Tamandua tetradactyla: one gene and its partner. The protein of the gene in region 1 interacts with the protein of each later gene in a pairwise test. Links are inferred from orthologs where the notes say so. Each region holds a gene or a part of one and is shown on either strand. Other genes may lie near its edges.

Region 1 (7,094 bases):
AAAAGGGGAAGGAATTTGGGATTCTGGAATCCTAAACAGCCACTAACTTCTGCTCTGTTGGCCACTGACATAACACAGTCTTTATGTAGCCAGTTGGATCTGCTTTGGCCATGTTGATTATTAAAAGATTGAAACCCTTTCTTCACAGTCCGTGAATACACCCACCCCCAAAAAACAGACTGACCTCCCAGCCCTCCCAAGTCCCCCCTCCCCAGCTTCCCACAACGACCAGTTAACACCTGAGTCAGCAGAGGGTCTCCAGGACCCTATCCCAGCCTCTCCACCCCTGCACAGAACCACTTTCCACCTTAGTTTTCCTTTTCTGAAAAGTGAGGGAGTGGAACTGACTGAGTTGCATTATGTTTGTAATTATGTTAAATTATTTACGCCTCAAGAAGAGGACAAGACCAGGAAAATAAAAATCCGAAAACAATTCATTTGTTGGCAGAGAAGAGGGGGAAATCTCAATGATGTCTTTCTGGGTCTGTTAAATGGGCGTAATGAGATTAGCTACTTCACAGAGTTGTTTTGAGGATTAAATGTATTCAAATTTGTAAAAGCTTAGAAGAGTGCCTGGCGTAAAGTAAGCAACACATAAGTGTTTACTGAATAAACAAATCATTTAATACTGGCACTAAAATGTTTATTCAATACATTTAAAACTTAAGAAAGGTTCACAACAGAAAGAAAAACAATCGTGATGCTATGAAACACTTACATAACATATACTGTTGTTTAATAATCCAACACTAAAACATCTGGACTCCAGAATTTTACATTGAATTCAGGGAAATGAACACATCAGAATGCATTCCCATTGTAGCTATGATACAATGATTTGCATGATTCCCTTCTAATTAGAAATGTCAAAGATGTATGAGAAATTCAAGTTATGGGTTTCCTATTTTAACCCTGCAACAACATTTAGCCATTTTCTGGCAGGGGAATAAATGTAGCTTTGTGGTGCTAAGACCTAAAGTTTTGTAATCAGAAAACCAGGCCTTATTCAACTTCTGCTTCTCTCTTGACACTATGAGTCAGCCTAACTGCAAGTTTAAAGAGCCATTTCTTCGATGCTTGGTCCTATAGCATCCAACTTTTGTAAACACCTGGAGTGGCCAGGAAATTACTACACCCAGAAGCTAGCTTGATCAAAACTGCTTTTAGTTACTAAGCAACTGAGCTCGAGCTTAATTTAGACAGATGCGATGCACTGCAAAGGGAGACAAAATTGACTATTTTATCTTTCTGTTAGATATTCAGAGAAGGAAACCATCCAACAATAACTCCTTTATCTATTCCTCCCTCTTTATTACTTAACAATAACCTTATAGCCACATTTAAATAGTTACAAGCTTATCCTCAGATAGTAATTTATTAGACCTTCCCTGATGAAGAAAAGACTTAATAGATGTAGTTTAGGCATGGATTTCCACCTTTCCTCTTAAAAGTATATTTCTCTAAAGCTATGAAAAAAACTCATGCCTTGCTTAATGAGAAAAAGAAAGCTATCATTAACACCCTATAGAGTTAAAGGTAAATAAACTTTTTAACCACCATTTTATATTAAGAAACACCCAGTAAGTAATCAGAGACTTCTCCAACAAGCACAGTTTCCCACCGTCAAGGTCGTGAATCAATAAGCCTAAATGTATGTTATACAGCAGGGATCACTGTTCATAAATATTCTGACATCAGGGACAAGCATGCTAAAAACACATTTTCCCAAAAGCCTTAACTACTCATGCTTTTTATAGGAATTCTAAATTGTACTGCATCCTGAGAAGTCAGGCTGGGAGTTCACACAATAAGTTAAAGGATCACCAAACAACACTTACAGGCTGAGTACAAATTCAGGCTAAAAGACTGTGCAAATTCATTTGTGTATATGCTACAAAACATTTAATCCTGAATTAGATTCTTGTTAAAATACGCAGGATGTAAAGGTGGCATCTTTTCACAGTTCACACGGAAGCATTCTTTTCATTCCTTTAAGTTTTAAGTGCACCACCCATAGTTAAAACCCCATTTAACACACCACGGAAGTCTGGGTTATCTCAACTGAAATTGGCAGGCCTGGCTGATAAAGTTAACGGAACTCCGCACTCTGCGGAGAGAAGAAAAGATGATCAAATGCAGCAACGCCTGCGTTACTTCGGAATCCACTTGCATTTAATGCTTTACAGAGGAAGTAAAAAGAACCCAACAGCCCAAGATTAGGAGAAGTAAACGCAGGCGTGGCAGTAGAGCTGGACTGATTCTACCAGGGCGGCTCTGAAGGGCTTCTCAAAATCCAGTGGAAGTCGCGGGGAACCGCGCTCCTGGATCCGAGAAGAGTGTTGCAAATATCTCGAACCCGGAGCGAGGAGAACAAGCCCTAGAACACACGCGGGGCCCCAGGTCCTCCGCGCCTGCCCCAGCCTCGGTGTCATCCCATCGCGGGTCCCGTGGGAGCGGCTGTGTGACCACCTGCCCCGGACCATGCACCTGGCCAACTCCCACCCTCGGCACGTGGCACTTCCTGGTCGGTTCGGGATGCTGGTCCCAGCGCGACCGCCATCCCGGCCAGCCCAGAGCGCACGCAGAGGCTGTGTCGGCGCGGCCCGGCGCGACCCGGGGTCGCGCGAGATGGCCTGGGGCCACCGGACAGGCTGCACCCCAGGGCCCCAGCGCAGCTCCGAGCTTCGGGCAGTCGCGCGCCTCGGCAAAGCTGCGCGCCCAAGTTGTCGGCGCTGAAGGACGTGGGCCCAAAGGCGTGCCCAGGAGGCCCCCGGGGGCCCCGAGGAGGCGCGATCGCGCCAGGCCCCAGCGGCGCTGGCGCCTGCCGCATACGCAGCTGCCAAGGTCCCGTCCAAGTTGGGCGGGGAGCGGCCAGCCGCCCGGGAGGAGGGCCGGAGCGCCAGGGCGGCGGGAACCAGGCTCCCCGGAGCCCCGAGAGCCTGGGGCGCGCTGCGTCTCTTACCTGCCTCGCCAGGGCGGCAGCGGGCACCTGCACGGCCTCCGCGGACTACGGGGCTCGGGCCCAGCCGGCGCAGCTGGAGCGACCGGGGGGGGGGGCGGGTAGCAGAGAAAAAGCAGGGGTGCTGGAAGGGGCCCCGCGCCCTGCGCCGCCCGGAACTGGCCTCCAGGCTGCGCCCCGGCTTCGCAGGGGTGGAGCGAGGCGGTGCCGGGTGCCGGGCGCGTCGTGGCTGCCACTGGCCGCCACGGCGGGGCAGGAAGGCCCCGGCCACTAGGCGTCTCTCCTTGTCCCCGTTTTTTTATTCTCTCTTTTTCCCGGAGTTTCATAACCCGACCCCATCAGCCTAAGGAATGTTCCCTAGCCATTGTTATCGTTTCGGGTTCTCTTGAGTCCCCACGTGCCCGGGCATCGTTCTAGGAGCTTCGCCTACATGATCCATCTGGTCCACTGCAGCTGGTAGCCACTCGAGGCCCTGTCATACAAATAAAGAAATAGCGGCCCAAAAAAGTTGAAATAACTTGCCTGAGGTGATACAATTCAGAAGTAGGAGCTTTCTGGCCTCACCTCTAAACCTTCTTGCAACTCCCTGAACGGCCCACCTTAAAACGCAGGAGACTGGAATTTGTGTTTTGATGTCTCTAAAGCCCGAGCTCAGTATAATTCAGAAATTGGGAGTGAAATATGGAAAATTCTCATCCCACCCGTGGAACGCTCCAAATCCAGCAATCTTTGCCATTTTCAGTACACTTAAAATAGAGTTTTATGAAAAAGAGAACCAGTTGGCTTGAACAGCAGCCCTTTGGGGATATGTTTTTTGAATATAGGCCAGCCCCTAGCTTATTACACAGTACTGCCTCCTGCCAAGGCTGAAGGAAGCAATCGTCTCCACATACCCCAAATTTCATACCGATGGCACTTCTAACGGGTTTAGTGGATATTACACAGCCCAGACTGTCAGAGATACACAAGGTCTTATTGCACATGGAGCAACATGAAATGAAAAACATAATAATCCAGCCCAAAGTAGACAGACAGGCTGAAATTATCGTCTGGAACTCCTTTTTCTGTAATCTATGGTTGCTCAGCCCTCCCTGGACTACATTTTTCTCCCTTGAGCACATCTTTTCCTAATGAGGGAAGAGTCATACAGCCTTGTCACCCTTTCCTTGCTGAAAGAGATGATTGATGTCTTTTGAATCTTATGATACTGACAGATTTTTACAATTAAGCACATGGCCCTCTGAGCAAACAGAACATTGCCTAAGAGGAGTTTGGCAAGTTTAAGACAAGCATGTTATTGAAAGCCTGAAAACCCTCTTTCCTCCCCTTCCTTCTCAAGTTTTATTAGTCACAGATGATTTGATATGTATTATTCACACAAGTGACTATACTCTTGGAGCTTGTCCTTAGAAATTATAACACTTATGGTTGAGAAGCAGCATGCTATAAAATTGCATCCCAAATTCCTAAGTATCATCATTTAAAATAAACATTTGGCACAAACCTACAAACAATAGGTTTTCTATTAAATGTAACTAGAAATAAAATTATTTAAAAGCCCCCCAAATTTAATCTCTGGCTTTCTGACTAGAATAAAATAGAAACATGCTATATGTTGTTTAGAGATGAACTTGAGCTATGGATTGCCAAAGGTAAGTTTTATAGTAGTATGATTCTGTATGTAATTATTTTTATATTCCTCAGGTATTTGCTGGGGATTTTTCCCCCCAATCCTTCACACATTCAAAGATGTCAAAAAAAAGAGTCACTAAGAAATCCTGTTATATATCTAGCTAGATATGCATTTGACTTTTTTATCAGACATATTAAAATCATCTTAATTTTTCTCCTTTTCTCTGAGAATAAAAGTAACAGATGTTCACTGAAAAAAAACTTGGAGATCATAGAAAAACAAAATCACCTATAATATTACACACACACCCATTGTTAATATTTTGATATATTTCTTTTTTATTTTTTATATACATTAATAAAGGCTTATGTAAAATTAACATCATGTTGTACAGTTTAGAATCCTACTTATTTCACTGAATATATGTGTGTGTGTGTGTGTGCGCAATGAGCATTTTTGCCATCATTAAATTTTCTTTAAAAATATAATTTTGAATGGTTGTGGAATATTCCAATCACTTATGTATCTGTTCATCTATTTATCCCTTTTAGAATGTCTTCAGACATTTCTGAAGTTTGGAGATCATGTTGGAACGAGCACTATGGATATCGGTCTTTGTTGAGTCTCTAGGTTCTTTAGGATAGATTCCTGAGTGTGGAAAACTAGATCTACATTCATAAATGTTTTTGAGGTTCTGTGAGTCTTATCTTGCTTGTAAACTTGAAAATGTGATGGATCAATATAACATCTTGCTTTAATCAGCATTTCTTTGATTATCAGTAATGCTGAACACAGTTTGCTTCGTGTTTATTGGTTATTTGTATCATTGAGAATGACCTATTCATGTCTGTTGCCTGTTTTTTTCCCTATGGTAATATTATTGTTCTTCCTATTAATTTGCATTAATGCTTTTAATAAAAACAAAACTACTCTGCAAAGTTTGCATACCGATGTGCTCCCCAAGATTTTCCCTTGTGGTACTTATTCTGTTTCTATACTGTCCAGATGACCTCCGTCCTTTTGGGATGCCCAGCATCCACCATCTTTTCTGATAGTTTCATTTTCTTATAGAGAATTACTTCTTCCCAACTGTGCATATCCTTGGCAGAAAGACAATTTGGGGCTGCACTATCCAAGCCAAAAGGCAGATCTGTCCACTATATTGCCATCACCATCCTATCCCCCTTATAGTCTAGCTCCATGGGCTGACTCTCACAGCGCAAGGGGCCCTGCCAGGTTTGGATTTGGGCTCATGGAGCAAAGGCAGAAGTGGCTGTAGCAGTATTCATTAAAAAAACAAAAACTCTACTATCATAGAATTGAGAGGCACTTACTATAGAAAACACAGGATTAAGAACACAGCCTTTTTAGAAAATAAGAATTAGTAGTTCCTCTAAGTTTGACAAGTCTGAAATGTACTCTACCATGACCTAAGCAGCAACTTTGTCCATAGTACAAAATGTTTCCATGATCACTCATCATCTCATTACAAAGAACCATAAATAGTTTACAGTAGGTTAAAGGTCTGGCTTTTATAATGTCATCTACGTCGCTGCCATCCTCTGGCAATTTGTGCATGAGTAGCTTAAACTTCTTTGCTGCATGAGTTTCTTGCCTTTGAATGATGCAGTAAATAAATGCCATTGGTGGTCATCACTCTGTCCCCTTAGCCCAGAATCCATATTTTGTTCTAGCTAAAGTAGCTGTTCCCTCAGTAGTTACAATGACACAGTTTTCCACAAAACATTGCTTCTATTTTGAAAATCATATACTGTTGGGAATGTTGCTCTCCTTCCACACGCCTTTCCTCTGTGCAGCCCTACCAGAGCTACATACTTTACTGTTTAACCCTAAGCCTTTACTATCTTGACATGGAGTTAATTCAACATTGCAAAAATATACAGTGAACTAACAATCAATAAAGGAGAACAAAAAGAAAGTAATTTATAGTAGAATATCTCTCCAAACCTAACATGCTCAAACAGACCGCTCTAGAAGACATTATGGAGGAATCAGATGTTTGCATGACTTATAATTAATGTGTTTTTATTTGCAAGAAGTATAACAGTTTTCACCTGTTTATTTTCTACACCACTGCTTTAAGTAGCAAGTCGCCACCATTTCTCTATACTGACGCTTGAATGTGACAGTTACAACTGCAGACTAAAAAAGATGTCGCCATTCGCTGCATGATTTTCCAAAAATTAACTTTACATGAACAATGCTTAGTAAAGTTCCAAAGTACAATTTTCCCTCGATTTGTAAACTGTTTGTGTTCCCTTAAAATGCAGTGTATATTAAAAATATGCCAAAATATTTGTGGTTTATATGAAAAAGATTGTTAAGTTCTGGGCTCAGAGAATCAGCAGGTTTTTCACTTACATGAATGCCTGGTAAGACCTTTGAAAGTTTTCTGGGACCAGGGACAACTCTTCATTGTTCAGGACGACTGTGTCCCATGCACAGCAGAGCTTCTAGTCTCCCCCTCCACCCCGGCCTCCA
Region 2 (6,942 bases), on another chromosome or scaffold:
AGATGAAAGGAAGGGACAAGACATATAGGGAAGGATAGAGTCCAATAAGTAGGAGGACAGGCCAAAAGACCTCATGCTCAGCCTTCTGTCCCCCTTCTGTCCCCTGTCCACGCCATCTCCTAGGCGGACAGCATATGGATGGAGATGGACAATGAGGAAGACCTGCCTTCTGCTGAGGAGCTGGAGGAATGGCTGGAAGATGTGCTGGAGGGTGAAATCAACACAGAGGACGACGATGACGACGACGATGACGACGACGATGACTAGTCAGTTGCTGTGGCAACCATGTTCCAGGCCCACCTGCTCTTCTCATGCTCCCTCCTGCCTTCCTTGTCCTTTCCTTGAGCTCCTCCAGGGACACAAGACCATTCTCTGCATAAGGCCCACTGGGTCTATATGTTGGGTGCAGAGACAATGACTCCCCATATCTGTTGAAGAAAGGAGCTACTTTTCCCTAGACATCAGCCAAGTCCTCTCATCCAAATTCTGTTTCTTATTTCATAACTTTACTTGTATCTACTCTTCGTTTCTTCCATCGCACCCTATACTTTTTCTTGTGGTTTTCCCAAGAGAACCACAAAGCTACAGGCCCCCCATCTCTCTCCTGTTCCCTTCATCTATGCACACCCTTTCCCAACTCTCTCAGATCCTATATCCTTCTGACTGTCTTATTCCTAGCCAGGAGGAAGGGAAGGTATTGTGGGGCGGTCTCTCAGCAATCTCTTGTTAATGTATTTGGGTCAAATGAGAGCCCTCAATAAAAAGATCTGGGGCAGCATAAGCAAGTGTCTGCTGGTGAAGTCTCACCCCTGTGGCAGGAGGGAGGAGGCCAAAGGACAAGATTTGAGTGTGGGTGCCTTGTTAGGGATGAGCTATGGGACTGCACTAGGAGGGGGATGGGGCTCCCTCCAAGCAGTCAGCCCAAAGAAGCCTGTATTATTTATCCATTTCAAGTCAACAAGGCTTTTCTGAACACATGGTGTTTGTCCAGTGCAGCGGTTAGGCTTAGGGAGAACAGAGAGTGCCAGGCCTGTCCCTGCTCTTGAGCTGGTTAGCTTCACTGGAAAGTCAAGACAAGCACACTAAACAACTGAAGAAAAATACAAAGCAGTATGTAATTAAGTGATTACGTGCTGCTTGATTGCACCCTCCCTGAAGCTCTTTTTCAAACTTTAAGACAGATCCCAAATAATACTTCCTGGATAAGGCCTTCCCAGAGCTTGCCCCATTCCTGTAGCTCCCTCCATTGGGTCCCATGGCACTTTTGAGGCATACCTCTATTCTAATACTTGGCACAATATATTACAGGTCTTCATTCACATGTCTGTCTTCCCCACTAGATTGTGAATCCCTTGAAAATAGGGACCCAGGCTTCTTCTCTGCATCCACGGGGTCTGACATACAAAAATTCCCAATAAATGTTTCTTAAAAGAAGGAACAAATGGAAGAACAGAATGCACTCAGAAGAAAGAGATTGGAGAGTGTTGGATGTCTTCATAAAGGACCTAGGCCATAAATGAGTAGTGGGATTCGACTAGGGACGTAGGAGTTCAGGAGGGAACATTTTAGTTAATGGAAACATCAAAAGTACTGGCAGGATGTGTTTGTCATACTGGTGGCACGGATGAGACGAGAGACGATAAGAGACGTTTAAATGGTGGCAGTGAGTTTGGGTGGGTAAATAGGGCTGGGTTATGGAGGTGTTTAAATGTAATCCTGTTAGCTGGTGGGAAAGGCAAAATTTAATCTAGCGGTAATAACCAGAGAGATATAGAGAGGTGAGATGATAGAGATACCAAAGGCAGGGGGTCCAACTCTTGTAATAAGAGACTGTTATAATAATCAGGAGGTTGGGTGAACAAGGAACTTGGCGACAGGAATGGAGAGGAGATACATTGGGTTTTGTAGAATGGGGATCCCCCAGACTTGGGCCCTGCTAGAGATCCTGGCAGGAAGGACCCACGTTCTCTCCGAGAGGGTAAAGCGTAAGGGAGTTAGGAGGGAAAAACCAAGTAGCTAAACCTACAAGCCTGTAAATAATCGACATTACATTTTTTTCGTGGATCAGGTATAAGGGTGATTTTTAAGTATGGGGAGGATGTGATCTGAAGTTAGAAAAGTTCCTATTCTCCACAGACAAATTCAGGAAGTGTTCCTTAGAGAAGATGGCAGGAGCATAGAGAGTAGAAACCATATATTCATCCAACTTGTACGCATTTAATAAAGATTTGCTAAATAGGACGGGCACTCGGCTAAGACAATAATATTACGGAGCTTACTGTCTAACATAGGTTAGTGGAAGCCCTGGGACTAAATAACAGGTCCCATTTTTAGGTACCCACCTGTCCCAGTTCCTAGAGATTTCTTATCGTTTCTAAATCTCAGGAGAGCCTTGGAAGATGGCCTTCCTGTCCCCTTCTTACCGGGAGCACCTGAGGCTTAGAGCCATAAACTGTTCAAAGAAGGAGTGGAGCTGGCATGAATCCCAAGTCTCCTGTAGCACATCGTGGCCTCCAGAAGACTGGAACTTTTCCCTGACAAACTGCATGACAGTAGATCAGTCATTTGGCTTTTCTGAGCTCCAAAGATGGATCAACGAAATAGGTGTTGGCCCCAACAACAGGCTGTTGTGAGGAGCAAAGGAGTTGTACAACGAAGGCAAATACTGAGGGTGTGTTGTTCTCAAAGCGGCAGTGATAGCAGGGCCTGGAAATGAGGCTGGTGAAGAGCAAAGAGAAGGGCTGTGAAACCCGAAGCAAGCAGAGCTCAGGACTCAACTAGAGTCCGTGTAGACCCAAGAAAGGAGGTGCCCATTCCAGGGCTGTGAAACCCGAAGCAAGCAGAGTTCAGGACTCAGCTAGAGTCCATGTAGACCCAAGAAAGGAGGTGCCCATTCCAGGGCTCCTAAGGGATCTCTTGCCTTCCAGGGCGGCACTGAACACTGCTGGTACTCAGACCCAGCTGTTTCCAGGATGGCCTCCCTCTCCCCAGGGCCAGACCTGCCCAGCTGAGAGACCCCTTCAGGCTGGTGATGGGGTGAAAAATAAATGCTTCCCCAATTCTTCCTTCCCTCTTTCAGTCTGGTTGAGAATTTGGGGGAGGAAAGTCCCTGGGGTGGAGCGGAAGTGAGAGAAGCCATGCTAGGCCTAGGCAGAGGGTCAGAGCTGGGAGACAGAGCAAAGTGTGGCTTTGCAGGTTGTCTATATTTGCATGCTGAGCTCACTGCTGCTTTTTTTTCTCCCCAGAAAACAAAATTACATCACGGGGCAGTGGGGGGAGGGGAGCTGGGATAGGGGTATATGTGGGGAAGGTGAGAGGGGCAGAAGGGGGCTGCGGGCTTCACCCCAAGAGTAAAACTACACAGAAGGCCTGAAGAGAGAAGATCCTGGGACCCAGGTCAAGTGAAGGAGGATCCCGCCTTCTTCTCACCCGTATTTCAATGGAGAGAAGTCATTTACTACCGCTCCCCTGACCTATAAGGAGGGAACTACCTGGTGCGGAGAGGGGCTTTTCCAAATATCCAATCCGGAGACCAAAGGGCTTTCCAAGACCCTCAGCCCTTCCTCAACTTGCTCAGCGTCTCCTAAGGTCCCAGCAACTGTGGTCATCGAAAGGTCAAAGGGGGCGGAGGGCATCCCACTGGGAAAGAATTAAATCTGAGAAGTTGAGGAGGAAGAGGCATCGGCCGCAATCCGACCCTCCCCCAATTCTGCCCCTAAGCCTTCCAGAACCCCTGCCCCTCTCTCCCCCGCCCCCCTCTGCTTCCCCTCCCCCCAGCCTCCCCCACTCCCGCCGCTCCCCGCCCCCCCGCCCCTCCCCGGCTCTGACATCACCGGCCAGCCGGGTGGGGTGAGGCGGCGCTGGGCTCGAGCTCGGGCTCGGCGAGCGGAAGAGGCGGCGGCGGCAGCAGAAGCAGCGGCGGCGGCGGCGGCGGCGGGAGCCGAGGAGGAGGCTCCGGACTCTGGCCAGGAACCTGGGGACCCGGGCGTGCCCGCTCCCTGAGCGCTCAGCCCCGAGGCGGTGAGAGGGGCGGGGAGGGGGCGGATTTGGGATCTGGCCTGGGAGGGAAGCCGATCCGGGACGCCGAGGGCCAAATTGGAAGCGTGGGGTCCCCCGAGGGGTCCGGCTGTGTCAGGCCCCAAAGCCCGCTCTGTCGGTGCGTGCTGAGCGCCGTGTGTTTCGGAGGTGGTGCGGCGTCGGCCGCCCATTCCACGCGGACCTGCAGTTTGGGAGTCCGGCCGGGGCCTGGGAATTGGGATGGAGCCTGCTTCCCGCCCAGCCGGCTCTGCCGGGCCAGCTCCCGCCCCTCCTTCCCTTTCTCTGGCTTCGGACTCGCCTCCGCTGGCCATCTCCTGGCCCAGCCCTGCCTTAGTTCCCGTGAGCAGTGTTCCCTGCTCCAAGGGCTCACAGCCTCGATGGCACCATGTGTCCTCATCCTTAGCCCACTGAACCCGGGTAAGAGGAGAGAGAGGCAAAGGCTTGTCCCAGAGTGGAGGAAGGAGCTGGGGATGTAAAGGAGTGAAGTTTCGCTCATAAAACCCCTAATTAATTTCATATAATGTGTGTCAAAACTGACAGGAACACACACACACACATCTACAAGAGACACACCAGCACTCAATGACACACACCCATGTGACTCTTACACAGTGTCTCGCGCACACACCATATCACAAACATCTCCGCACTACACATCCAAACCCCCACCACACCCCCCACTGCTTCTCATGTGCAAGTATCCTGGATGAGGGGCTGCAAAAACCCCAGTCCAACAGGAGAGTTGAGAGGGCGGAAGGGGGCACTGTCCCCAAGTCCATCCTAATTTCCTGAGCAGCCTGCCCCAGCCCTGGTCTTCAGAATCGCCTCCTTTTAAGAGAATGTCTTGGTCTCACTTCTCCTAAAGCACAGGGAGACCAGATCTAGAGGGTGAGTGAGCAGGAAGGGTAGAGGCTGCTGGTGGCCTTTCCTGCTGGGTCCAGTTAGTTTAGGGTGCTAGGAGTGGCTAGTTTCTGGGCATCAGGGTGGCCCGGGGATGGAGGAGGTGGTGGAAGAAAGGAAGAGGGAGAAAAAGAAAGAAGGAATATGAGTCAGCCAGGGATGGAGCCCAAGTAAGAAAGAGAATGAGAGGAATGTGTGTGACGGGGGTGGGGGGGTGGGGGGGGGGGATGGAGACACATCAAGGGAGGGACCAAGAGCCAGAGAGGGACAGAGACACAGTTAGGGAGCCAGAGAGGGGGAGGAAAGTGAGAGACAGAGAGGGTCAGAAGAGTGGGAAGATACTGGAGAATGGAGTACAAGCAGTGCAGAAATTGGGGAAGAGAGCAGGATGGTGGTAAGCCCAAAGGGGGGGCGGGGCGGGGGAATGCACCGAATTTGTGTATCTGGTGTGTTTGGACCCCCAGGCTGTCAGAACCATAATCGTTTTAATTGCTGTCCTCTTGGTGGTAAAACATTCCGTTAGGGAAATTGCCAGCAATGCCCTAGGCTGCTGGCTTCCCTGGTTGCATTCTTCCTCCTTCTGTGACACCTGTGCCCCTCTAGTGTGCATGTATTGTCATGCCATCCCTTCAGTCTCTCACGCAGATCCTCACATACAATATCATAATAGACATCGCCACCAAGCTGTATACAGCCAGTCGCTGATCTCCAGGCCCTCCTCCACAAATTTACTCTATCTCCTTGCCAAGGAGTCAGAGAGAAAGCCTGAAAGGCCTGAAAACCCACTGAAAAGAAGAGAGGAAAAGAGGCTAGGGGGAGGGGAAGTGGATGGAAGAGACCAGGAGATGGAAGAGTGAGGCGGAAATAGGGACAGGGAAAGACATAATCCAATGAGCAGAGACAGATGGGGTTAGAGAAAGGCACAGCCCCTTCTCCCCACTCCACACTGTCAGCAAGCCTCTTCCACTTGGCCCGGTCCAATGCCAAGTATCTCCTGGGTCCCCATCTTGGTTCTGGCCTTTCTCCTTTGACTAAAGGCTGAAGGCTTAGCCCTTAACCCTGTGCTCAGGGATGACCCATTTGTCTTTTTGGACAGAACTGAACATTTTTGGGCCAGTTGTCCTTCCTCCTTAGGCCGGGCTGACCCTAGAGCCTTAGAACCCTCCTCTTCCTTTGGTACAGGAATAAAGGCCCCCAAAGCTGGAGAAAAGCTAAGGGAAGAGATCAATTGAGTATGGTATTAAAGGAATAATTTCATAGGACTACTAGAATGTGGGGGCCCAGAGAGAATTTCTGGGTGGCTGAAAAATAGGGTGGCTGGAACCCTACTCCCCTCTCTTTCTTCCCCCCTGCCTCTGCTTGATCACCCCCTGCACCCTTCCATTCCAAGTTGTAAAAGACTTATAGCCTGGGAGCCCCTCCTGCTCACTCTAGGGACTTCCAGCTCCTTGCAGCTGTGTGGGGATGGCCCCTCCCCTCAGCCTTAGGCAGCTGCAGCAGATGTGTAGAAAGGAGGGGCAGCAGCATCTAATCCTCATGCTTCCTTCTTAAATTTCCTGGTGATTTAGAACTAAATCCTAGGTAGAGGGAACTTCTAGAGCATTTCTTTGGGCCTGGGCCTTTAAAGGGGGTAAAAGGGGCATTATCAAGGTGGAGGACCTGAGGATTTAAGGGGTCTCTGGCTCCACTGCTCATTCACATGGGGAACCTACTCTCCCCTCAAACATGCCCCCCTCAGCATGGTTTTGGGGCTTGCCTGCCTGGTGAAGAAAATGAGAAACCACAATGATTAACCTCTGAGAATTAATTATCTCTGTTGTTTCTGACCTCATGAAGGAGTGTGACCCCCAGGGCAGGCACAACCTGGTCCCTTGTATAGATGAACATTCTAGGCACCTCCTTCCCCACTAAAAAACCCATATCGGGAGGGAATGCCCCAGCAGTTCTTAAACAAGCTACAGTGAAGTAAGGTCAAAATGCACATAAATTCTTTTGGTGCTACCA

What was found. The genes of interacting proteins can lie anywhere in the genome.
Region 2: the proteins of PLD1 (region 1) and PEA15 interact in a two-hybrid assay, tested with the Homo sapiens proteins (2 studies listed by BioGRID). The link is inferred for Tamandua tetradactyla from reciprocal best matches to the Homo sapiens genes PLD1 and PEA15.

The regions. Positions count from the first base shown.
Region 1 is NC_135331.1:69,252,676-69,259,769, forward strand, and holds the start of PLD1 (phospholipase D1), read right to left. Parts: upstream 3,065-7,094; 5' UTR 2,963-3,064; intron 1-2,962. UniProt on the Homo sapiens protein: Function as phospholipase selective for phosphatidylcholine. Implicated as a critical step in numerous cellular pathways, including signal transduction, membrane trafficking, and the regulation of mitosis.
Region 2 is NC_135330.1:13,265,671-13,272,612, forward strand, and holds the start of PEA15 (astrocytic phosphoprotein PEA-15), read left to right. Parts: upstream 1-3,873; 5' UTR 3,874-4,020; intron 4,021-6,942. Other genes in the region: CASQ1 (calsequestrin-1), read left to right, coding at 124-267. UniProt on the Homo sapiens protein: Blocks Ras-mediated inhibition of integrin activation and modulates the ERK MAP kinase cascade. Inhibits RPS6KA3 activities by retaining it in the cytoplasm. Inhibits both TNFRSF6- and TNFRSF1A-mediated CASP8 activity and apoptosis.